Arabidopsis thaliana: one gene and its partners. The protein of the gene in region 1 interacts with the protein of each later gene in a pairwise test. Each region holds a gene or a part of one and is shown in the gene's direction. Other genes may lie near its edges. The genes, in order: APRL4, WAT1, FOLK and AT2G41610.

Evidence for each region.
Region 2: the proteins of APRL4 (region 1) and WAT1 interact in a protein complementation assay, tested with the Arabidopsis thaliana proteins (one large-scale study listed by BioGRID).
Region 3: the proteins of APRL4 (region 1) and FOLK interact in a protein complementation assay, tested with the Arabidopsis thaliana proteins (one large-scale study listed by BioGRID).
Region 4: the proteins of APRL4 (region 1) and AT2G41610 interact in a protein complementation assay, tested with the Arabidopsis thaliana proteins (one large-scale study listed by BioGRID).

Annotation. Positions count from the first base shown.
Region 1 is NC_003070.9:12,746,759-12,752,800, reverse strand, and holds APRL4 (APR-like 4), read left to right. Parts: upstream 1-2,294; 5' UTR 2,295-2,676; coding exon 2,677-2,865; intron 2,866-2,963; coding exon 2,964-3,151; intron 3,152-3,234; coding exon 3,235-3,359; intron 3,360-3,535; coding exon 3,536-3,966; 3' UTR 3,967-4,230; downstream 4,231-6,042. Other genes in the region: AT1G34770 (melanoma-associated antigen G1-like protein), read right to left, coding at 4,352-4,393, 4,482-4,596, 4,694-4,799, 5,549-5,701, 5,788-6,037.
Region 2 is NC_003070.9:28,336,209-28,342,835, reverse strand, and holds WAT1 (Walls Are Thin 1), read left to right. Parts: upstream 1-2,560; 5' UTR 2,561-2,744; coding exon 2,745-2,959; intron 2,960-3,056; coding exon 3,057-3,119; intron 3,120-3,196; coding exon 3,197-3,313; intron 3,314-3,572; coding exon 3,573-3,993; intron 3,994-4,087; coding exon 4,088-4,239; intron 4,240-4,352; coding exon 4,353-4,554; 3' UTR 4,555-4,648; exon of another isoform or gene 4,649-5,054; 3' UTR 5,055-5,110; downstream 5,111-6,627. Other genes in the region: AT1G75490 (Integrase-type DNA-binding superfamily protein), read right to left, coding at 6,171-6,627. UniProt on the Arabidopsis thaliana protein: Required for secondary wall formation in fibers, especially in short days conditions. Promotes indole metabolism and transport (e.g. tryptophan, neoglucobrassicin and auxin (indole-3-acetic acid)). May prevent salicylic-acid (SA) accumulation.
Region 3 is NC_003076.8:23,667,313-23,674,258, forward strand, and holds FOLK (Phosphatidate cytidylyltransferase family protein), read left to right. Parts: upstream 1-2,954; 5' UTR 2,955-3,200; coding exon 3,201-3,515; intron 3,516-4,318; coding exon 4,319-4,386; intron 4,387-4,472; coding exon 4,473-4,604; intron 4,605-4,743; coding exon 4,744-4,859; intron 4,860-4,965; coding exon 4,966-5,258; 3' UTR 5,259-5,557; downstream 5,558-6,946. Other genes in the region: EOL2 (ETO1-like 2), read right to left, coding at 1-1,162; AT5G58570 (uncharacterized protein), read right to left, coding at 5,558-5,818. UniProt on the Arabidopsis thaliana protein: Kinase involved in negative regulation of abscisic acid (ABA) signaling. Substrate preference is farnesol > geraniol > geranylgeraniol, but has no activity with farnesyl phosphate. Can use CTP > ATP > GTP = UTP as phosphoryl donor.
Region 4 is NC_003071.7:17,344,251-17,349,631, forward strand, and holds AT2G41610 (uncharacterized protein), read left to right. Parts: upstream 1-2,906; 5' UTR 2,907-2,930; coding exon 2,931-3,863; 3' UTR 3,864-3,989; downstream 3,990-5,381. Other genes in the region: AT2G41590 (Ta11-like non-LTR retrotransposon), read left to right, coding at 1-453; AT2G41600 (Mitochondrial glycoprotein family protein), read right to left, coding at 1,347-1,518, 1,743-2,080, 2,338-2,520.

The DNA of each region.
Region 1 (6,042 bases):
ATGTCTTCTTTTGTGTCTTTAGTATTGCTGAAATAACAAAATTATTCTCACAAGTAAAATACATCGTTGGAAATTAGTGTCAAGGTATGTGTCTTTTTTATTTAGACCTTTGAGCATGAACGAACTAATTTTTTCACACATACAGCTTCATCGATTTCTTTACAATTATGACTCTACTTCAGTATTGGTAATCCTCTCACTTTTTTTATTAATCAATCTAAGATTCTGTAACAATTTTAATTTGTTTGAAAAGCCACGAAGTGATCAATATGTTTTGTTTAAACACTTCCGTTTCGGATTCATGTCTAGTTTTATAAATCTATGCTCTTGATGCTAGTCCCAACTAGGAAGATCGATTGGTTCTGGAGCTGATACCCTGGTTTGGAATGCACCATGGATCTCTCTCTCATCATCCGTAACCCCAATGGGTCCTCCTACTCAAGAGACACAACTCATGACTGTTAAGGACTTAATATGTCCTATTTCCAAGTCTTGGAATAGAGAAAAGATTGCAACTTACCTCCCTCAATACCAATCAGAGATCTTTCAGTTCAGACCAAGTAGGTTTGTTGCTAGGGATAAATTTATCTGGCTTCCCACGAAATCTGGTGATTATAGCACCAAAACAGGCTACTACGCAGCTAAGACTTTGCGGAATCTTCATACACAAGTTCCACCTCAACCTGTGACCTCAATTGGAACTCAGAGATATGGAAAAAGAAATGCTCCCCGAAAATTAAGTTTCTCTTATTGAAAGTATTGAAGAATGCTTTACCCCTAGGTGCCAACTTGAAAGCTCGAGGCATCAACCCTACAACTGCTTGCCCACATTGTAGTGCAGAGGAATCAGGTCTTCATCTGTTTTTCCTTTGTCTATTTGCTGCACAGATCTGGGAGCAAGCCCCATTCAAAAATACCCTTTCGACCTTCACTTTTACCAATCTTCAGATGGGTTTTGAAGCGGCTAAACATCTGATTTGCTTACCACTGGTGGAAATTGGCTCAAACCCTCTTTTCCCCTGGATTATTTGGACAATCTGGACCTGCAGAAACAAGAAAATATTTGAGTAGAAACATCTATCTAGTCGGGATGTCATATCTCAAGCAATTTCGGCTGCAAAAGAATGGTTATTGGCTCAGCCTTTACCTCAGGGACACCAGACTCTGCTTTCAAGACCAATTGTGCCGGAATTTGAATCGGATGCAATCTTGTGTTTCACAGATGCAGCGTGGCGAGAGGATTCACATGATGCGGGATTGGGATGGATTTTTGTAGATAACTCAAATCACTCTGAGATCCAGGATCACGCAGTGGCGAGAGAGGTATCTTCCCCTTTAATGGCGAAGGCGATCGCTCTCTTCTCTGCCATCCAACAGGCGTCAAATCGAGGATTCAAAAAACTTGTTGTAGCTTCTGACTCGCAGCAGCTTGTCGAAGCAATCGTGGGGGAGCTTCATCCAAAGGAGCTTCAAGGGATTCTACATGACATCCTTTTTATCTCTCTCAGTTTCGCTGATATTAGCTTTCATTTTGTCAAGAGAGAAAACAATCGTAAGGCAGATGCAGCTGCTAAAGCTGCTTTACTCGCAATCAATTCTGTACCGGTTTAACATTTAATGAAAACCAGAATTTTCGACAAAAAAAAAAATGCTCTTGATGCTCTGTTTTCTTTACTTATATTCTAAAATAAACATTTCTAATTATTACATGGTAAAAATGTGACTACAAAACATCGAAGGTACATTGAAACATATATTCACTTGATGTTTTTCTTCTACCTTGAGAGGATTCCAACTCTAAGTACACTTCAGGACTTAGACAATCACCACATCAACAAATTGTATACAAGAATTACTCTTTCATTGGGAAATAAAAACAAAGCATGATATGGTGGGAAAAAAAACTGTATATAAAGACTTTGCGGAAAAACTGTATTGAAGAAGACTTGAACTCTGCAAAAGGGAGAGATATTATCGTATTGTGCATAAGGAACCAACCGAATTGTGTTTATAATGCTAATTTATTAAGACCATTATGGTCAAATATAAACAGTGTCGATAACTTAATATGTTTCAATGCTCATATTAATAAAAACATAAAAAAAAAAACAATCTCAAATAACAATTAACTGTATTGAGTAAACAATATAATTTTTAATTAAAGAAACACTAGTAGTCAATAATACTCTTTCTTCCCACGTGTTGAAATATCCAAATATTAGTTGTTCATATAGTAATATTTTTTATAAAGAAAAGACCTAAACCAAAATCGAAATCAAAATCGTATTGAAGCAAAAATTCTGAGTTTACTAAAAAAAAACTCCGGTTTATTAAAAATTCTGGTTTAGATTTTTTTTTTTTTCTAATTTTGTCATGACTTTGTAAGATTTTTTTTTTTTGCTTAATTGCTTTGTTCCTACGAGCAATAACCCAGTACCCAGCAGCAACCACAACCTCTTCTTCTTCTTCAATATCTCCCTCAAATAACAGATTCCATTACCGCTGCATAAATATCTCTTCAGTAAAGAAACATCATTGATTCAATTCCCAGAAACATCAACCTCTCACCTGTTTCCAATTTGTCGGCAACAACAACAAATTTCTATTCTGGGTTCTGTGAATTTCGTAGGGAGAGAAATAGAGATAGAGAGAGAGAGAGCTTCTGGGTATTTTTTAATGGAGAAGGAGATCTTGTTGTTGCTATTGGTCATCATGTTTTTAACCGTTGCCGACGTCGACGCCGTTAGGGTTCCGTTTTGTGCTACGAAATCTGCTAAAGATTCAATCTTTGGGCTTCGAGATCAGACTTGTTCTGTTTCTGGTGTTGAATCAGACGAGCGTCCTCGTTTTGTTGCTGTCACCGAGGTAATTTAAATTAGAGCTCGGATTTCAATTTCTAGGGTTTCTGCTTGATAAAGAATCTATCTTTCGTTTCTTATGAATGTCATCAAATGTTGGTGAAGGGTGATGAGCGTTGGTTGCAAATAGCATTGGATATGATTCATAAGAACAAGTGTGATTATGTGGCTTTGCTTTTCTATGCATCATGGTGTCCATTCTCAAGGTCATTTAGACCGAGTTTCGATGTTATCTCTTCTCTCTATTCCTCCATTCCTCATTTTGCCATTAAGGAATCATCCATTAAGCCTAGGTGATAATCTTTAAACTGGTCTCAAACGAATTCCTTTTGGTTCTGTTTTGGTGATGATCTTTTGGTTATTTGTTGTGCTGCAGCACCCTTTCCAAGTATGGAGTTCATGGGTTTCCCACTCTCTTACTTTTGAATTCGACAATGCGGGCACGATACCGAGGAACCCGAATGCTTGATTCTCTTGTTGCTTTCTACAGTGATGTTACCGGTAAGGCTTCATATATCTAGTCTTCTGTTCTGTATTTACCCTGATGTGGATAGTGTTTTTGTAGTGAGGTTAGGCATTTAGTAGATACTAAAGAGTTGGTTTTGTGTGATGGTAGTAGTTGTTTATGATCAATAGCTCAACTAGTGGAACTAACAAGGAATGTTATGAGATTGTAGGCATTGAGACATTGGATAAAACTTCTCTCGAGAGAAGCGTATCAGTTCCTCATCTCGGTAACGAAAACAACACAGAGCCAGAAAACTGTCCATTCACGTGGGCAAGATCGCCTGAGAATATGCTTCGACAAGAGACCTATCTAGCTCTTGCCATTGTATTCGTCCTGTTGAGATTGCTTCACTTGATATATCCTACACTCGTCGTGTTTATGAAGTTCACTTGGAGACGGATTGCTCAGAACATGAGACTAGAAAGCCTGCTAGAACATACCGTCGGGTTTCTAAGCCGAGCTGTACAATTATGCATGCATAGAAGAAGCAATCTGCAGGGAGGGGCTATGAACGCTAGAGCATGGGCCTCTAAGTCTTTGGCCACTGTCTCAATTGGGGATTCAAGCTCATCAAACAGAAGAAGTTCATCTTCTCAGTGACTTCATAATTCTATAATTTTAGCAAATATGGTCACAGCTAAAATGTGTTTGGCTGTATCATGTTTCTGTTACAGCTTTTCAGGTTAAAGTTTTACCCTTTGTCCTGTATAATCAGCAGTGTTCCTCTAGACCAACAACTTTGGAGAGGGCTTAATTCATAGCTGAACATTTTGTAGTAGAAGTGTATATGTCATCAGATGGCAAAATTATAAAAGTCAAATTCATATTTTTTTGTCAATATTATATCAGAATTGGTCTATTGCTTATCTTGTTTTCTCAAGAAACTTCACATCTCACATTGCATAATCAAGGCAATTTTACAAAATACATGAGTCAAAGACATGCACCAATCTGTTTGGTTAAGTCTCTAAGGCCAAATCTTCCTCTAATCATTAAGCTCTACAACTGCTACATCATTCTTAAGGATCTGCATTTCACATAATACCAAATCTTAGTCAAAGCTGAAAATAGATGATTAAAATCAACAAAGAAGAAGTATGTTCTTTATGTAGTACCTGTGAAATGTAATCTTTTACTTTCTCGCTAACTTGAGGATCTAGCGCTCTCTCTGCAAGATCGTAAAACAAAGTACTACCCTCAGGGCCACTTACTTTCTCCTTCTGCAAGAACCTGTAAAAAGGACGAAACCTTTTGAGAAGAACTATGAAAACCACCTCAGTCGTTTATTCCTTGCAGAGTTATGCACAAGGTTAACGAAAGGTCTCACCTTTGTTGGACTAATGTCTCCAGGGTCTGCTTGTTGTTCCCAAACACAGGATTATGCTCATCATTTTCATGCAATCCCATTCGCTTCAAATGATGCCAAAGGGTTTCTAAGGATGTTGAGAAACATATAGATGCAAGAAAAAAGACGTCAACAAACAAATTCTTAAATCAAGTGTGTGACTATCATATACTCTTGATTTCACTCTAAAAACTAATTCATCATAGAGACTTTAGGATCTGAAACAAATCTACATAATGTACTTTTGACTTCCACTCTACAACTTTGCTCTCTAACTATGATTCCCAGAACTGTGAGAACACTACATCGAAACCAAAAAAGATCGTAAGAGATCGAATTAATGTACTTTTGACTTCCACTCTACAACTTTGCTATCTAACTACAACTTTAGGTTCTTAAACAAATCTATATAATGTACTTTTGACTTCCACTTTACAACTTTGCTCTCTAACTATGATTCCCAGAACTATGAGAACACTACACCGAAACCAAAAAAGATCGTACGAGATCGAATTAATGTACTTTTGACTTCCACTCTACAACTTTAGGTTCTTAAACAAATCTATATTATGTACTTGTGACTACCACTCTACAACTTTGCTCTCTAACTATGATTCCCAGAATTGTGAGAACACTACACCGAAACCAAAAAAGATCGTAAGAGATCGAATTAATGTACTTTTGACTTCTACTCTACAACTTTGCTCTCTAACTACAACTTTAGGTTCTTAAACAAATCTCTATAATGTACTTTTGACTTCCACTCTACCACTTTGCATAGAACATTACATCGAAACCATAAAAAAGATCGTCGTAAGAGACCGAGTAACAGCATACCTTCAGGGATTTTACCACCTGCAAGCTGCACAATGGCAAGAACCACAAACGTAAAGCCAGTCACAGGACTCGTGGTTTCATCCACAACATGTTTCTTAAACACTTCCAACGGCAATTCACTAACAAGCACATACGATTTCGAGTCAACAGAACCTAAAAATTGAACGAAAACAAACATTTAGCTATATCGCCGAGACGCGGTGCAGCCGCTTCTTAATAAACAAATGCCAAAATCTTACTCTGTGACTGAGGAAGCCTAGATTGACCAGTAGAAGAAGAACGAGCACGTTGAAGTTCTTTCAAATCATAACCAAAGACATTAGAGAGCTTCTTCTTCGCTTCGTTAATCACGTGTGTAGCGAGATTTCGTTGACGATAGTTCTTAGTAACAATCTGAGTCAAATCTTCTCTTTTAATTGGAGTTCCTGAGCTTTGGTGAAACTTGAACAGTATGAATCTAATCACCTCTGAAACTAACTTATCCGTTTCCTGCA
Region 2 (6,627 bases), about 16 Mb from region 1:
CATATATACATACTCCTTTGACCTTTCTTAAGTTTTTTTATTTATTTTAATTTAGGATTACCCCGAAACTACACCATAAAATTTGTTTTCAAAAAACGTCACAACCTTTTCTTGTAAGAAGCTTTTCTACAACTAATCTAGTAAGATTTTACAAAACTGTTTCGATTTTTTTTTAAAATGCTGATATCATTTTGAATGTCCCAAAATAATCCCTTCTTTAGGATTACTGGAAATGTTTTAACAAAATTGTTTTAGTGATAATGTTTGTAGCTAGAACTACAACTAGTTATTTATATATTTTGATAAATTTTTAATTTTGTAGGAACAATTTTCTATAAATGTAGAAAATATTTACAGAAGTATGATATTATTAGAAACAATGATTTCTTATACAATTAAAAAACATGTTTCGCTGTGTATTGAGATATTTTCTATTCAATTTTGATATGAATAGCATCTATGTCAAGAACAGAGGATACAAACTTTAGTTTAGGTTCATCGGGATAATGGTAGAATAAATATATTTTATAAAATAGAGCAATTAGATAAATTAGTGTAACGTGAAAGTATAACTAAGTTTAACTAGATGTATTAAAATGTTAAGGTAAATATCTTTGTTATTGTTCATAAAAAAAAAAGATTTTTGTAATAGAAATGGAATATAATGAAGTAATGAAAATTCCATATTGTTATATTTTGTTATGTTTTACATGTTGCTGCATATAGTTTATCTAAAACAGATTTGTGACAAAATAATATTCCATGAACAATTTTTGCCATGATATTTCTTTTGTCGTGATACATTCGTGGAAGGAAAGAAAAATACATATTTGGTTTGTTTTCACGTGGATATGCACATGTTTCTGTGTACAATTTACTAAATTGGTTTCTCTGGGTTTACATTGTCGATCTCTCCAAAAATAACAAGACAAAAAGAAAGAGAAAAATGAAAGCATATACAAGCAAGCAACCATAAAATTTTCGATGATTCTATTCTATAGGGATACAAATGTATTTGACTATTGGAAAACAATTACACACGTCTATTCGATGAGCACAAAAAAATAGAACTAAAATAAATTAACAAGAAAAATAAAACTAAAATAATTGAGGACAAATACAGATAATAATATTGGTGTAAGCGTGTACATAAATATTGATCGTGTGGGTGTGCCTGCGAAATAAGAGGTACTGTGGGTCTCACGGTTCGGCAGTGCGCGTGGGGCTCGTCCCTACAAAATTAATTATGTAACATAAATAAAATCAAGAAATATATTTACCAAAAAAGAAAGTAAATAAAAGATGTTAAAACGAAATGTCGTACATTTATAATTAAGAGTGTTATTCTCCTGAAGACTATACTGTACAAGTAATAATTAGTAGCAATGCCATGCTGCTCAATAAATATCAAAGGAAAGGACAAACTAAAACCATTATAATGTCTACGATAGTGAGTGCAAATTGAGGAATAGAGTCGTAAATAATGATATATTTTGTGCTTTTTCTATTGTTATTTTTACCTTTTTGATTTTCAGAATTAAATGATTTTAGATATACAAAAAATTAAGAATCATAATGATGGTTGCGTTAATGAGTAGTGGCGTGAGGGTTGTCATGTCAGCTAAACAGCAGAAAAATAAAAGAATGTGGGAGACAGGCTTTGCCCTTTTACACATTTTTAAGCTCTCTTCTTTATTTTCTAAAAACACTATAGTACACAGTTAAAAATTTGCGGGCCCTTTGTTTAATCGATTTAGATTTAACCAACAGCTTCATAGTCGTTTCTTCTTGTTAGAAATCAATAAATGAAAAGTTGGTTGTTTTGAAAGCATATAATTAACTAACAATGTATCATGTTGTGAAACAAAAGCTGATGATAAATGTTAAATATAGTGTCCAAAATTTTGGGAATGTCTTCAAATTTTGATTTTAAAACATATGAGATGTACCAACATCCACAAAATGTTTGTGAAGTTGTGACTTAGTGAGACGTTGTCACTTTATTATCTCGTTTTGGTAACGGTAAGTGCATGTGAACGTGTTTGATTATAAGTTTAACCCGACTTTGTTTACGTGGTCATAGTTTCCAATAAGGCTAAGTAGAATAGTGTATGATAGTTTTCAATTCAAGAGTCTTTTTTTTCCAAGAAAATCCGAAAACACAATCGTTTATTTTAATATCTCAAAAGAAATCATATTTCTTAGGTAAAACTATCATACGTTGAGTTTTTCTTTCTCCTTTTGCGATTTTCCCTGAAATATATTTATGTTGTGTGTGTGCTTTGTAAACAAAATAATAATGAACGTAATAATAGTAAAACAAAAAGTAACCTATATTATTATCATACTTGATATAACCCAATAGAGAAATAATAATATAAATTAAAATTTTATTTCCCAATTCAAAAATCATAATCAAGGAGTGAATGCTGCCAGTAGACCAAAGTAACAATATTTGGTGTGTACATCAAATGATAGGAAACAACAAAAACTCATTAATATACCTAAATCCATATATATATATATATATATATATTTCAATATTTCACATTGTTATAATTAGGTTTAATAGATACCATATTAGAAATCTCAGTATGGTGGTTCCCACAAGCAAAGAGGGGAATGAGATTGCTATCTACCTATATTTATATCTCCGCAACTTCACTCTTTTCCTCAATCAACACACACAAACACACACACACACAGCCTTTTTCCTTCGTTGATCGATTGTTAAGCTCGATCCAATGGCGGATAACACCGATAATCGGAGATCCTTATGGGGAGTTCCGGAGAAGCTTCAGCTTCACATAGCGATGCTGACGTTGCAATTCGGTTACGCCGGATTCCACGTGGTGTCTCGAGCTGCTCTTAACATGGGAATCAGCAAACTCGTCTTCCCTGTTTATCGTAACATCATCGCCTTGCTTCTTCTCCTTCCCTTCGCTTACTTCCTTGAAAAGTAACCTTCTATTTTCACTTCACTTCTTTATTTGAAAACCCTATTTTTTCTCTAGTTGCTAGTTATTTAATTACCAAACTTAATTGTGTTAATTTAGGAAGGAGAGACCAGCGATTACTCTCAACTTTCTCATCCAGTTCTTCTTTTTGGCACTCATAGGGTATATATTTATATCCTTCACTCTGATCTTTTCAATAACAAATTTGGATAATTAGTTAATGAATTATTACACGACAGAATAACAGCGAACCAAGGATTTTACTTGTTGGGACTGGACAACACTTCACCAACATTTGCTTCCTCCATGCAAAACTCTGTTCCCGCCATTACCTTTCTCATGGCTGCTCTTCTCAGGCACTTACTCTACACATCTCTCCATTTTCATTCTCTTTTGATTTATAAAAATAAATAACAATATTTTGGACAGCTTGGATATACAAGAACCACTTTAATAATGTCCATTTGACTTTTCAACGTAAAAGAAACGGATAATAATACACGTAGACAATATTTAATGCCGTTTCCATTTGCTTACAAAATAGTGATAATCATAGTAGTAACAACAATGTAACATACTGTTTATGTACTGTATGTGAAAAAAACAATAATTCAGGATTGAGAAAGTAAGAATAAACAGAAGAGACGGTATCTCCAAAATCTTAGGAACAGCTCTTTGTGTCGCCGGAGCTTCCGTCATCACCCTCTATAAAGGTCCAACCATCTACACTCCGGCTAGCCACCTCCACGCTCATCTACTCACCACAAACTCCGCCGTCTTAGCGCCGCTAGGAAACGCCGCGCCTAAAAACTGGACCCTTGGTTGCATCTACCTAATCGGTCACTGTCTCTCGTGGTCAGGCTGGCTTGTTTTCCAAGCTCCGGTTCTTAAGTCTTATCCAGCGAGGCTCTCGGTTACGTCTTACACTTGTTTCTTCGGAATCATTCAGTTCTTGATCATTGCTGCTTTCTGTGAAAGAGATTCTCAGGCTTGGGTTTTTCACTCCGGTTGGGAGCTTTTCACCATCCTCTACGCCGTTAGTTTTTCTTTCATCTGTTATAATTAATTCGTTTTTGGCCCTAATGTTTCAAAATAATCAATTTGGTCCTAATGAATTGATTTAACTTCAGGGAATCGTAGCGTCTGGAATCGCGTTTGCGGTTCAGATTTGGTGTATTGACAGAGGGGGTCCAGTCTTCGTTGCTGTTTACCAGCCTGTTCAGACTCTTGTCGTTGCGATCATGGCTTCTATTGCGTTAGGCGAAGAATTTTATTTGGGCGGGTATGAAACTATAATAATATTAGTGGTTTATATAAATACTTGATAAAATCCAAGGTCCTAAACAAGAATAATTTTAAAATTTGTTGTGCCACATGTCATATTTCTAATGGCAGGATTATTGGAGCGGTCTTGATCATAGCGGGACTTTACTTCGTATTGTACGGTAAGAGCGAAGAGAGGAAATTTGCAGCGCTTGAGAAGGCAGCGATCCAGTCCTCCGCGGAGCATGGTATTGAACGTGCACCTGTTTCTCGCAACTCCATCAAGTCGTCCATCACAACACCACTACTCCATCAGTCAACGGACAATGTTTGACTACTTTGGACAAATCACTCTCCAGCTAATAATTACAAATGCCATTACCCAATTAAAAGGGAACAATGGTGTGCCGTTGTGTTTTATGACTTTTGTGTCTGCTTTTTTTCTTAGTGTTTTCTCTTCTTTTTTTTTTCTAAAAAATTATTAATTACCTAAGAAAGGTTTTTGAAGAAAGGAAAAAAAATGGTGGATGAGACATCATTGTTCATGAGGATGATGATGATGATGATAGTGATGAAGAAGACTATGTGGGAGCTTTGGATTGAGACTTTTCTATATATAATATCTGGCTGATATATTAGTGCCATTTTTTCTTACATTTCTTGTGGGGTTTTTCTTTCCTTTATCATCAATAGAATGTTATAATTTGCATTTATGATCTTTAGTAATTATCACTGTCGGGGATGTTTAAAATGGATTAGATCAAACGCTTTGTTCTGAACTGAAGTAAAAAAAGATCTTTAGTATTTGATTAAAATGATCTCTTAAAGAAACAGTTTTTTTTTACAAATTTAGTTTATTATCAAATATCCAATAAAAATTCTTAACCGAATGAACAAGTTAAAAATAAACCAACATTTAATATATATAATATAATATGGACCAACTAAGTTATAGTATGGACCAATTCTTGAGTTGAAAGTCCATAGATTTTAACATGGTATTAAAGTTTAGCTAACTTGAGAAAGATGTGTTGTTCGATATATAATTTTTGGTCCAATATTAGAATTTTGTTTGAAATAGACGGATAAAAGCATTATTTTAAGGAGAACGTGTTAAAAATTTCACATATACACTTCAATGCTCTACATTATCTTTCTTGGTTTTCTCGGATCAGCTTACACGTCAGCTTTTTACATATAAAATATCATCTTTTAATTTGATGTAAACAAGAAGTTCATTAACAGAATTTCATATCTTATTTACCTTATACAAATAAATTTCATTAACAAAAGAAATTCATATACATAAGGAAAAACACAGTGCATAAGCGACTTTGTCTCATAATCGTTATCTGGCATAGGTTAGTCTACCATGTGGATTCAAGATTTCGTATTTGAATCCATTAGTTAAATCATATATAGCCCGTTATTGGAGACTGGAGACCATATATAAGCCGAGATATAATGATGTTGGGCCGGAATAAACGGGCCAGGTTTGTTATAAACCACGCCATATAGTCTATCAAGACTCGCGAGGATTACACGTTAGTACAAAGAGAAGCTAAGAAGAAGATGCAAAGAAAACCAAGAGAATAGTCAAAGACTTAAAAGCCCATAGAAACAGAGACATATAATAGTTACACATTGACCGTTACACACAACGTAACATCCCGTTTTCTTTATACAGATACATTGCACTTGATTTAATAGTTTTCCCCATGACACATTTTTAGCTTCGAGACAAACAACTGTCGTTTTTATGTTTTTTTTGATATGGTAAGAATCTGCTTTCACACTATACAGACAAACCACATATATAGATGTGCACATATATAAGTACATGTAACTGGTGTTTATTTACATATATATCCTAGTTCACGGTGACTATATTTGTATATATATGTAGTTTGTATATGATAACTTAACAATTAAAGAGAGTCTAGTGACACCTCAAAGTGGGGAATGAAAGGAATCCCAATTAGAATAGCCACCGGAAATACAAGTATCAAACCGAGAAATATCATTATCTCCTTCATGAACCCATGGAAATCCTAACGACATTGTAGCTTCTTCCCATATTGAAGAATCATCCATTACCGGCAAATCCACGTTTATATGCTCCCATGATATCTCCTCTGTCACTCTTCCACATGATGACATCTCGTTGGATGAACACGGCGACTCAGAGTCGCTGCTGCTTTTTCCACCGGTGTTGCTGCTTGGTGTAGTCTGGGACGCCGGAGACGACGCCGTTTTAGGGTAACTTCTTAAGGACTCAGGGAGGTTGAGATGAGCCTCAGGCCCATAGAGCTTACGAGCTGCGGAGTCATAAGCCAAGGCAGCTTCACGGGAGGTGTCGAAGGTACCGAGCCAAAGACGAGCTCCTCGGTTAGGCTCGCGGATCTCA
Region 3 (6,946 bases), on another chromosome or scaffold:
TCGTGAGTTTCTCTTCCATGCCTACTTGGCTGAGGAAGTAGTACAACAGGAACACACACTCTGAACCCAGAAAAGCTAATTGCTCTTTTGCTTCGGAACTGCAGAAGAATCTCATCACTTTGGGATTGTGAAGAGACTGAGGAAGCTCTCTCAGAAACACCTGCAAGCAAGCAGATAAGAGAAGCGTTGTGCGTTCCTCCAACGCGTACTCTACAAAGGTTAAAGCTTTATCAAGGTCAGTGACAGAAGCAGCCAAGCGAGCCTCACATTCAGACTTCAGATCATCGCAACAGAATTTGCTGGCTAATTGAAGCAGCTCAAATACAGTTTCCACACGAAACAGATCAACTCTTTTGATTCTACTATATATGTTGAGTGCCAACATTGCCTCAATAGAGATGCCATTTTCCGAGAAATCAATCTCAGAAGTTGTTGATTCCACGAAAGAACCATACAACATGGCCTCAAAAGGACGCGAAAGCGCTGCGATTCTCGACCTAACACACTTAGCCTTCTCTGAACCTACGCAGAAGGAAATATCGCTAACCTCATCTAGACCCGAAAACTCATCAGCCTTAGAGATTTTAACGTCATCACTACCAAATTCATCCTCACATACCGTAGAACATTCACAACCCTCGTCGTCTACATTCAAATCACAACCATGAGTCAAACTAGTCTTCGGACATTCAGAAGCAAGCCCATTACAATCCATAGATTCAACTCCCACAAGTTCATGTTCTCTCCTAAAAAATCTCAACCAAGCAGAGAAAACAACCTTACAAGGGACATCAATGGCGTGCCTCCTAGCGTTGAGAAGGCACCTACGCAAGAGCTTGGCATCACCGAGACTGCGGAGAACAGCGTACTGCTCAAGGTAGAGCATCGATGCCTCGGATTCCGAACTGGACTCGATTCTCCGATATAGATTTGATAATGACTCCACCAAATCGATAGGTTTGAGGTAAGAGTCCAAGGGAGGCTCGAGGAGGTCTGTGGTGGGAAAGCCATGAGGGAGAAGTGAACGAGATTTGGATTTGGGATGCCCAAGGAACTTCATCATTCGAGGGCTACCATTGCTGCTTGTAGAGGGAGAGTCTTGTGTAGTAAAGGCGTGGACTTGAGTGCTTTTAAATCTCTCAAAGAGTTTGAGATTGCGCATTTTGCTATATCACAGAAATCTGAGAAAAGGGTTTGATTTTGAAGTAAAGAGAGAGTGAGGGAGACGGAGAGAGCAAGAGAGAGAGAGAGAGAGAGAGAGAGAGAGAGAGAGAGAGAGAGAGAGAGTTGAAAACACAAGCTCTGTCTCCGGTGACAACACACAGTGCAGAGACAAAAAGGAGAGAGAGAGAGAGAGGAAGAAGAAGACGATGAAGTGTGATTGAGAATATAAATTATTTTTATAAAAAGGTCAATAATTTGGGGAGAAAAAAGAGTAATGGCGTCGATTTTTGCAAACCCAAAAAACATTTATATGGAAAAAAAATGGTCGAATCTCATATCTGTTTTTCTTTCTTTTATGCATTTTTTTGTGGAACAGTTTACGAACTTCAACAGTTGGTGGTTCTTATTGGGTGCGATACGAACCAGACCACTTTCCTTTCTCTTTCCTTTTTGTGTAAAGACCACTTTCCTTTTTTAAAACAATATTTTGTTTCTGTTTTTTTGGTGAGGAAATATTTTGTTTCTTTGTTAAATTGTTATTTTTTTCCATATTTGAAGATATTGGTATGGCTTTTAATTTGTGAAAATTTGGGTTTATTACAGAGTTATATGATGATTAAATATAGTTTAGAGAATTATAGATGGTTGGTTCGTTTCGGGTATAATTAAAATAAGCCTCTCTGACTATCCAACGTCATTGATTCATGTGATGCCAAGATAGGTAGGTTAACTAGTTATGTGGTTTCTTATCGGTTATCTCCTATCTAAACAATTGAGCTTAACATTAAACTTTGAAGATATTAACTTATCTCTCTAATGAACGAAAAAAATTCAGTTTTATTGGTTGATTGGTTATGATTTCAATGACTAACAAAGAAATGGTCTTTAATTTATGTACAGCATGAATTTACTCAATTTATTACATACAACATGATTTCAAAAAATTGCTTAAAATTTTGCAAAACATTTCTTTACTGTGATCACACTAATCATTTGTTAATCTGGTGTCTACTTTTTTACTCGCTAACGTGAGCGTGTATATTTATATTTTCTGAGATCTTCATAGTTTTAGGTTTTTAGCTTGTAGTTAGTTTTTTTTGTTCTCGATATTGGACCAACAACTATCAGGAAACGCATAATTTATTATATATATAAAAAACTCTCATAAAACGTACTGTATTAAAACAATAACAAATAAAAAGTGGAGAGAACTATATCCAGAACCAATTCTGATGTTCTTTTGCCCGCACACCTGGAAAACACATGCAAGTGTACTCTTTAAAGATAAACATATATACCATTTGCGAAATAATTGAGGATTTTTTTTCTTTTGCCAACAGATAAATAATATAAGATTGTTTCAGAAAAAAAATAAAGATGGATAATTGAGGATTAGGTTGGCATTATTTGATGCAAAAAATACTAAAGAAAATCTCACATTGAAATCAATTAAAATAATTTTCTTATGGTATATACAAGTTGATGCAAAATTGATAAAAGATTAAACAAGGCAAGAGACGTGTGGTCATGTGTCTCGGCAACCCATGTGAGGGAATCTGAATCACTTTTTTTTTTTTTTTTTTTATGTTTCTCGAATCTGAGTAGCACAATAATTGAATTGTGTTTCGTAACTAAATTAGGGATTTATTAATCATGAAAAATTATTTGATGAAATCAAATTGTGGTCCGTCTAGTTGACTTATACCAGCCCAAATTATTTAGCGAATATAAAGCCCAAACTAGGCCCACAATAACAAATTATGCGTTTCCTCAAACGAACACCACCATGTCATGAACCATTCTAGCCGAATCCAAATAGAACGAAACTAAAATTGCTTTAATCCATATGTGACCAGATAAAGTAAAACACTCCTTTTGGGGAAATAAATATCCACTTTTCACCATCTTTTTGGTAAACAATAAAACAAACCAAATTTTGTGTGCTTGAGCAACAACAACTACCAACCAGTTACTGTCAAAAAAAATAAATGAAAACGTAATCGAAGAAAAGGTCGTGTTTTCTAGTGTTGCAGAAAATGGCAACTACTAGTACTACTACAAAGCTCTCCGTTCTCTGCTGCTCTTTCATTTCATCTCCTCTCGTTGACTCTCCTCCTTCTCTCGCCTTCTTCTCTCCGATTCCACGATTCCTCACTGTCCGAATCGCGACTAGCTTTAGATCGAGCTCTAGGTTTCCGGCCACCAAAATCCGCAAGTCTTCACTCGCCGCCGTGATGTTTCCGGAAAATTCGGTTTTATCAGATGTCTGCGCGTTTGGAGTCACTAGCATCGTTGCGTTCTCGTGCCTCGGTTTCTGGGGAGAGATTGGCAAACGTGGCATCTTCGACCAGGTTTTCGATCATTCAATTCACTTAATTAAATTATACACGCGTCGATTTGTTGAATAACGTTTTTGGAATGTTGCTCGATTCTGCAATTTCTGGTTAAAGCAACTTTGGATTCAGAGTAATGGTAGTAGTAAGCTTTATCGAGTAATGGATGGCATTAATGGCGAGGATAATAAATCTTATTAGTTCAAGAAATTATAGAATGTGAATGGATACCTATTTTGGGGTGGAAGAACACTGCGATAAACAATGGGAAAGTAACCCCATATCTGGTAAATTAGTGGGAAAATTGCTCAGAACCCAATTTGGGGATGAAATTTTTTTGAAATTCGTGCGGTATAATCACAATCTCATCGTAACTTGAAGATTCAACCATATTTATGATATATATGAATTTTGTAGGTTTAAATGTTGCACAATTTCTTTGCTATACTTTGAAGGATTATTTCTTCGTATGAGTCAGTCTATACACATATTGGACATGGCTTGTTTTTTTTTCCTTTCTCTTATGTGTTTCTCCGCAGTGACTTGTTTTTCTTCAAGTAATTTGGTTAGGAGTAGAGGAATTATCTATGATTAGCAAAAATTCTATTAAACATTTTTGGTTTGGGAATACCTGTATGGCTTCAGCTACTTGATTTTGTTTCTCTGACCTTATCGTGATTAAGATATCATCTCAGAACCCATTGAATTTATAAGATCCACAGGCTGTCTGATGTAGGACTGACTCCACTTTCATGGTTTTATTGAATGAGGCATTGGTTTAACATCTGTGGTTGACATTGGTGTTATTTCTTATTTTTCAGAAACTCATCCGGAAGCTTGTGCATATAAATATTGGGCTAGTTTTTATGCTTTGCTGGCCGCTGTTCAGGTAATAATACGGAGTGAAAGGATCGATTTTGATGTACCAGCTTGCTTTTCTGCTTCACCAGTTTATTTCGATATCAATTGTTTCAGTTCTGGAATCCAAGGAGCACTTTTCGCATCTCTTGTACCTGGACTCAATATAGTAAGGATGCTATTGCTGGGGCTTGGAGTGTACCACGACGAAGGAACAATCAAGTCAATGAGCAGACATGGAGATCGCAGGTAGCTGAATCGAACAAGTGTCTGTCACAATATCCAACAATCTCTTAGCATTCTTGGTATCTATGATCAAAATTCGGTTTGTCTGTTTATTATTGCTTTTGTCACTTCACAAAGTGTCTGTAGTCGCTCTCTGCATCAGGGAACTACTTAAGGGGCCGCTTTACTATGTACTGTCAATCACATCAGCCTGCATCTACTATTGGAAATCATCCCCAATCGCGATTGCGGTGATATGCAACCTTTGCGCAGGAGATGGTAAGTACAGTTAGCTCTGGTTTGATCCAATAACATTAGCAACTTTTGTCTTAGGAATTTGAATCCATTGAATGATGATTCTAATACACACACTTGCTGTTAAAAGGTATGGCTGACATTGTGGGTCGGCGGTTTGGAACAGAGAAGCTTCCTTACAACAAAAACAAATCATTTGCTGGTAGCATTGGAATGGCCACCGCCGGGTTTCTAGCATCTGTTGCGTATATGTACTACTTTGCTTCATTTGGTTACATCGAGGATAGCGGGGGAATGATTCTTCGTTTCCTCGTCATCTCTATAGCATCAGCTCTTGTGGAATCACTCCCAATAAGCACCGACATTGACGACAATCTCACCATTTCCTTAACCTCTGCCTTGGCCGGATTCTTACTCTTCTAATAATACCCTCTCGTTGTTATGTATCATCAAATAAAGGGTCGAGCTTGATTGCTGATATGGAGGTAAAACTGCATTCATTGTTCCCATCTTCTTCTGTATGTACGTATTAGTGAAACATCTCATATTGTTGTTGTCCACAAATCTTATTTTTCAGCTGCAATTGCAGTTGGGTACAATGTTGTAATGTTCTATCCATTAGTGAGACATATGATGACGAACAGTGACGCTTCTACAATTTGTAACAGATACTCTTTTGTAACAGATATTCAATACATGTTTGTTTGTTATTTGGCCTATGGCTATGTGGAAATGGATTGTTTGCTTACAACAGGTGAGGGCTTGAGTGTCCCGCTCCAGGAAGCCTCTTCTGACAGGTCGGACTGGTGACTGTAACGGCGTTTCAGACAAGGAAGCAACACGAGGAACAAGAGGAAGACGGCGAAGCTGATGACAAGAACTACCGTCAAGATCTCACCATGCATGGCGTAGTGTCTGTCTCTAGTGAAAGTAAGTCGTTCGCCATCTTCAGGACTCGAGGCCTCCACCGTAGAAGTTACCATTAGAGAGGTAATCTCAAATATTCTCAAATCTCAACTCCTTTGCTCATACCTACTTCATACTGTCATGCATCATCTTGGAGGGATTTGTGTCTGTTTCTTTTTCCTCTCTGAAATATAAATTTGACTTGGGAGAATATGTATCAAATGAAAACAATATGTCACCACAGAAGAAAAGAAGAGTTTAAATATATTTCTTTGGGATAATTTAGTAGATGGATTTTTGTATAAAGGTTGGTGTAGAAAGTGAGACTGGGACGTTCGTTAGTGATTGCTCTCTACATATGGGGCGTTGGATTGGGTCTTTTTGGATCTTACGTGCGACGTCGTTTTCGTAATTTGAAGAAAATCCTTTTCGTGTGGCTCCCATAACCGACTCCGTGACTTTCCCGGAAATTTCCTCAAGAGAGAAGCGACCTTGTGTCTCATGTTAGTTGCTTCTTCTTCTGCCCTTATTTATATGAATACAAAAATTAATTACTCTTTGATTTGGCCCATTTAAAATTGCTAACTTCTTCACGCATTCTCGAAATAGAAGAAAACGTGGTATGCTTGTATTAATTGAATGGTTCTGAAAGAGACATTTTCAGAAGAAACAAAAAAGCAATTGTGCCAAACTAGAAGAAGAAGCTATAATCGAGGTGTGCTCTACTGAGATTTTGCATGGGTGCTGCAAAAAAAAAAAAGAGATTTGAATGGGCCATGAGATGGGCTTTTAATAAAAAAATCATAACAGAAATTAGATGACGTGGAGTGTCGTTTTCTTTCTATTCGAGGTGACGGTGAGAAGGAAAACCGTGTCGTTTATATGATTAAGTAAAGAAACGCTTGCCGTTTAATATTTTAGCTTGGCCTGGGTGCCGTGGCAAGTCATGATTGGTGGTTTCTTCGCCGATGTAAAATTCAACAGATCGAGAGAGAAAAAACTCTCTCTCCCTCCTCCGTTCACCGTCGCGACTCGGCTCTACAGTGTAAGCTTTCTGATTCTACGGCGATTTCGTTTCTGTATCTATGCTTGTAGACTGGGTTTGTTTTATTGGATGATTTGATTTGGAACCTGAAACAGTAAAGTTGTGAGGAATGAGTAGTAGAGTTTCCTATCACAGAAACTCCAAAACGAATCTGTTAGAT
Region 4 (5,381 bases), on another chromosome or scaffold:
TGTCCATACCGACCAAGACCTCTCAGCATTGCAAGGGAAAGAGCTCTGTTTAGGGATAGTGTGCATCGTTCCTCCATGAACTCTCAGTCTCAGATGACTGATAGTTCATTTCCAATTCCCCAGACTCCACCACCAAGAATATCCCACCCACCACTGAATCATGATGAGTTTGTAGCTGCTTATCCTCACTTGGACTCAGGTAGGAATGACCACATCAGATGTGAGGGAGAATCAAGCAATTTCAGACAAGACTTGTCTTCAGCTTCAAACTCCATAACTCCAAGAAGGGAACCACAATACCTAACTGATAGAAGACACTTTGAACCTGGTCAATCCTCAAGAAGACATGATGTTCGGGATTTAAGAAGAGGGTCAGAGAGGATTGGGAATCTCAATCAACAGAACTATGTGCAAAGATCAGGAGGGATACTGAAACCTCCGAAGAAACGCTAAACACTCTACCAACTTCTGTTTTTTTTGGATTGAAGTCTGCAGGTTAACAAGGAAGCAGCTTCAAGATACTCCTTTTGGATTGAAGACTGCAGGTCAACAAGAAAAGCAGCTTCAAGATATAATAGATGAGTATGGTTTTTGGTTAGGACATACTCCTACTTATCTTTAAATTCAGCATTGTCTTAGTTTATGTTTCAGTTTGGAATAGGCTTGTTGCCTTTTATGTTTAAGTGGAAAGTCCACTGATCAACTTTTTGTAAGAACTTAAAATGTTATCAATGAAAAGATATCAGTTCAGAGAGAAAAAAAAAAAAAAAGATACCTCAAGATCTATGCTTTTTTTATCGTTTTCCTATGATGTTATGTCACGTTAACACTATAGTATTCACACAATAACTGATTTATCTTTTCCAGAATAATTTTACTAACATAAGTTCTTTTTAGTGTTAAGTGATGCTTGCTTGACGCTGCGTGCTCCGAATTTTTGTTCTCTCTCATTTGCCTTTTTTTTGTTCGTAAATTTTTTTTTATTGCATTTTCTCACTTTTTAGTCCTTTCGGAGAAAGATCAAAAGACATTATAGGTCAAGTATTGATTTACAAAGATAAATACATGAATGAGGGTGGTTATGTAGATGTCGATTACTACTCACTATCTCATGACTAATCATCTTGAAAGATCAAAGATCAAACCAAGCTTGCTTGAAAATTCAAAAGCATACGATTTGGGGTCCCATTTGTTGGAAATATTACAGTTAACATGTATTCGTCGATACATCTTCCCTCAAAACATCCATTGCAAGGACTCTCTTAGCTAATAATACTACTCCTAAGGCATTTTACCATTGTTCCAAAAACAAAACTTGAAAAGAAATGAGCTTATGGAGTAAACACTCACGGCTTTGGAGAATGTGACATAGTTGATTCAAGCCTGCGTAACCAGTTAACGTATTGATCCTGCTCCTTCTTGTTCAGGTGACACAAAAGGAAATTAGTTAAGCCTTCACTGACCCCCTTAGATATTAGGTATTGCTCCAGTGCACTGTGTAGTTTGGGATCTACTTGGCTAAAGAAACAAAGAAAATAACACTGGTCATTGAAATCAAACATATGCAGACACATGAACCTCTAATAGTCTACTTCTTTTTCAATATATATAGAACAATTACTCCAGGGAAAGAACAATGGGAAGTGTACCCAATGCTTTGAGGTTTGGATGAAGTAAAACAGATATGATTCAAGTAACTTAAACAAAATGTTGAGAGATTATCATTTATGAGCTTACTTCACCTGAAAAAATGGTCTCCATAAGTGGAAGAAGGAGCAGAAACAAAAGAGCGGATAAAGTAGGCGCTCTCGATGTCGAAATGAGAAGATCCAGATCCTGATTCGTAAACCCGGCAATGAAACTGCAAGATAGAGCTGAGACCAGGCTTTTTGATACAAACTTTGGCATGAGCTTCCCTAGGAAACACTAAATCATCTTCTAGTTCTATAGGTTCTGGTTGCAATAAAGCAGAGACCACAACCTTCTCGCCTGAATCAAACTGTCTCTTCAGAACAATATCTTGGCTTTCCGGTGAATCCCAATCCAATTTGAAATCTCCTAGAGAACCGGTCTCAACGCCCTGTGGGGTTCAAGCACAAAGCAAAATCATAAAGGTAGAATGTAAGTACTTAAAATCCTAGGGTTTATGAGATCCAACATCAAATTCAAATTCGCCCATCTGGTAAATCACTCTAATGTTCATCAATTCAGAAAAATGAAATTGAAACTGACAGAGTCTGATCGAACTAATGTTGAGCACCATTGATCTTAAAACTCAATTGAGAGATTACTGAGAGCAACGAAGAAGAAGAAGGAAAGAGGAAGACAACAATTTACCTGGAAACGAGGATGGGAGATTTCGTGACGAATTTCACTTTGGAGGATCTTCAACAAATCACCATTTTCAATAGCCTTCAAGCCTCGTTTCAGAAGCGGATTCAACTTCCTCATCTCTCTCTTTTCCCTAAAATTGGCTTCTCTCAATCTACGGAGCACAAAAACTAAAGTAGACTGAATCATGATCCGGTTCGGTTTAATTCGGTTTATTTCCGTAGCAATTTCAGTAGACCGGAATTTAAACGGTTAAACCGAATTCTCAGTTACGTAATCATGCAATTTAACAATTACACAGAACCAATCAATCATCAGCTGCACACCAAACTTTTATTTCCCTTGAAGATCAAGGCTTCTCTCAATACATAGTTTCATTCAAAGGGTGATTTTTTGTATTAATAAACAAAAAATGAAGATAGAATTCAGATTTCAGATAGAGTTTCATTATCCATTTTAGTTCAAGCATCTATAACCAGACAATGAAAGAGAATCAACCATATGATGATGTCACGTCACACACACTCCTTATAAACTATATGTGTAGCTTCTAAGGAAACCAAAAACATATAGATCAAAACAAAAAAAACAAACAAATTATGAATTCAGAATGGGAAATGGATTCTGATAGAAAGAAAACATTTTTCAAATGCACAAAGTGGCAATTCGAGGACACACTTGATCCTATTAACTGTCCTTTCCACTATTTCTGCGACAGCATCTATGCCGGCGACTACCCTCAAATCACCGACGTTCTAGTTTTCTTCTTCGTTACGGTTACTTATTTGACGACGCTAATTGTTGTCGTAAGGAAGGTAATATCAAGAAGAAGAAGAGAAAATGATGATGATGGTGATGATGACAAAGCAAGAAGGTACTTACTTCCTTCTGGTCCAATCTCTCTTCCTTTGATCATCTTGATTCTTGCAAAAGGTCAAAGGATCAATACCCTTTTCCCAATTTCCATCTTTGGACCTGCGATACTACAGCTTGTTCAGCTCTCAGTGCTTTTATTTGAGAACAATATCGAAAAAGAAGCGAGTTTTGTCTTCTTCGAAGCCTCTACTATCTCTGGTATTCTCCACGCTAGTCTTTACTTAGACGCTGTGATTCTCCCCTATTATACAGGATTCGATGCTCTGGTCACATCTACTTTCTCTGGAGTCTGCAAGTCTTGTATATGCAGGAAAGAGCCATTAATAGTGGGAGGGAAGATTGTCTCTTACCGAGGATGGTCTAGTACAACGTTCTTGGTGGTTGGTGTTTTGTTTTTGAGGATTATATGCAAGTTATGCAAAGAAGAAGGAATAAATAAAAGAGTTTTGGTGGTTAAAAATGTTGTGCAAGGACTGACATTGCTTGTTCTTATAAGAGATTGTGTGTACTTGGCCGTTATGTCTCCTGTTGAAGAGCCTATCTTGTTTAGGGTTTTTGTGTTTGGTTTTCTTCTTCTGTTGATATGTGTTTATGTAATCACAAAAGTATGTTGTTTGGTTAGTCGGAGACAGAGTAAGAAGACATCAGACACATGAAATTTGAAACAAAAAGGAAAAATCAGAGGCAAGATGAAGTAAATGTAAATGATTGCTTAATGATGAGTTTATATTGGATGTGATGATGAAATGGTAAAACTTAAACATTACTTCTATATCTATTTATATTTATCCTTATTGTAAATAGTTAAATCAAAACAGTGAGAAGTAGTAGTGTCAAGATGACGCAAGATAGTGGTTACAGTTTTAAACAAGAAGAAATAGAAAAGTGGTGTAACACTTGCTAATTTGCTAGATATTCCATTAGGAAATTGCTTTTGAAAGCCTTCTGAGTTGGTTCATCACTTTACCCGAACAAAAAAATGACTTTTTACTTCTACTAGGCATAAATAAGTCTTGGCTTTTTAATTCAATATATTGGTTATGTTAATGTTGAACAAGATTATATTACAGCTAGTATATATACTGCGATGCAATGTTAAATTTTAGATTTAAACTTTGTTAAAGAAGATTAACCTTAAGAAAATAAAATTCCTAGATTTATAAATATATGACTAACCATACATACATACATATTCAAGTTCAGAAGTCATAGAATTATATCAATAATTAGGTGGTACCACTGTACTATCTTGTATTGTTATTTGTAGCATTGGATAGTTTTACGAAGTTTGTACTTATACATAATGATTAATGAGATCGTCGATCTCTGGTATGCTATTCCGATGACTAATTTATCCCCAAGAACCTACGAACAGAGATTATTGTTACATGAGTTCTCATTGATCATGGGTGTACTTTTATTGATATTAATTGATGAGATTCTAGATCGAACCTCACTTAAACATAAAACATACGAGAAGAAGAGATTCGTGATCCGTAGTAGCTCTGCTTATTCAGATATGACCACACCAATAGAGATGATAAGGACCCAAAAGCATGTACTTACCGAATTACTATGGCTATTGTAAACTTATGCTTAAATCCACGTAGAATTCAACCATAAGCCGGCGTAAAGTAGGTTTAGGTAAACTATAAATGATTAGTCTAAATTTTTAATTTTTTTTTTGTCAATCAATGATTAGTCTACATAAAAAAATATTTCTAGCCCTAACAATTTGCTCAAACACTAATAATATATAGAAGGTTTTGTTAATCAAGTACGCAAGTGAATTTTTGTGCGAAATTAGTTTTTATTTTATTATTATGATTTATACCAGAAACAACTTTATAAGCAAAAATGCACTCAAAGTACTTCACCGAGAGTATGGTGAAGGATCTAGTAAGAAGAGCACTAAGAGAAATTTATATTGGTGTGATATGGAGAGTCTGGATTCTCCTGATAGGGTATTAGTAGTTGATACCGCCTTGGTTTGGTCTATGTACACCGAGTTTGTTCAGTTCTTTCTATATATGAAACCTCAACCCTAGGCACATGTCCCAAAATCTGTATAGGATGGAGCTGAACATACTCGGTGTACATAAACCAAGCCAAGGCGGTAGAAATACCAATGCTTCACGAACTCGTTTAGTTGTGAAAACTCTGTTATTTTCATT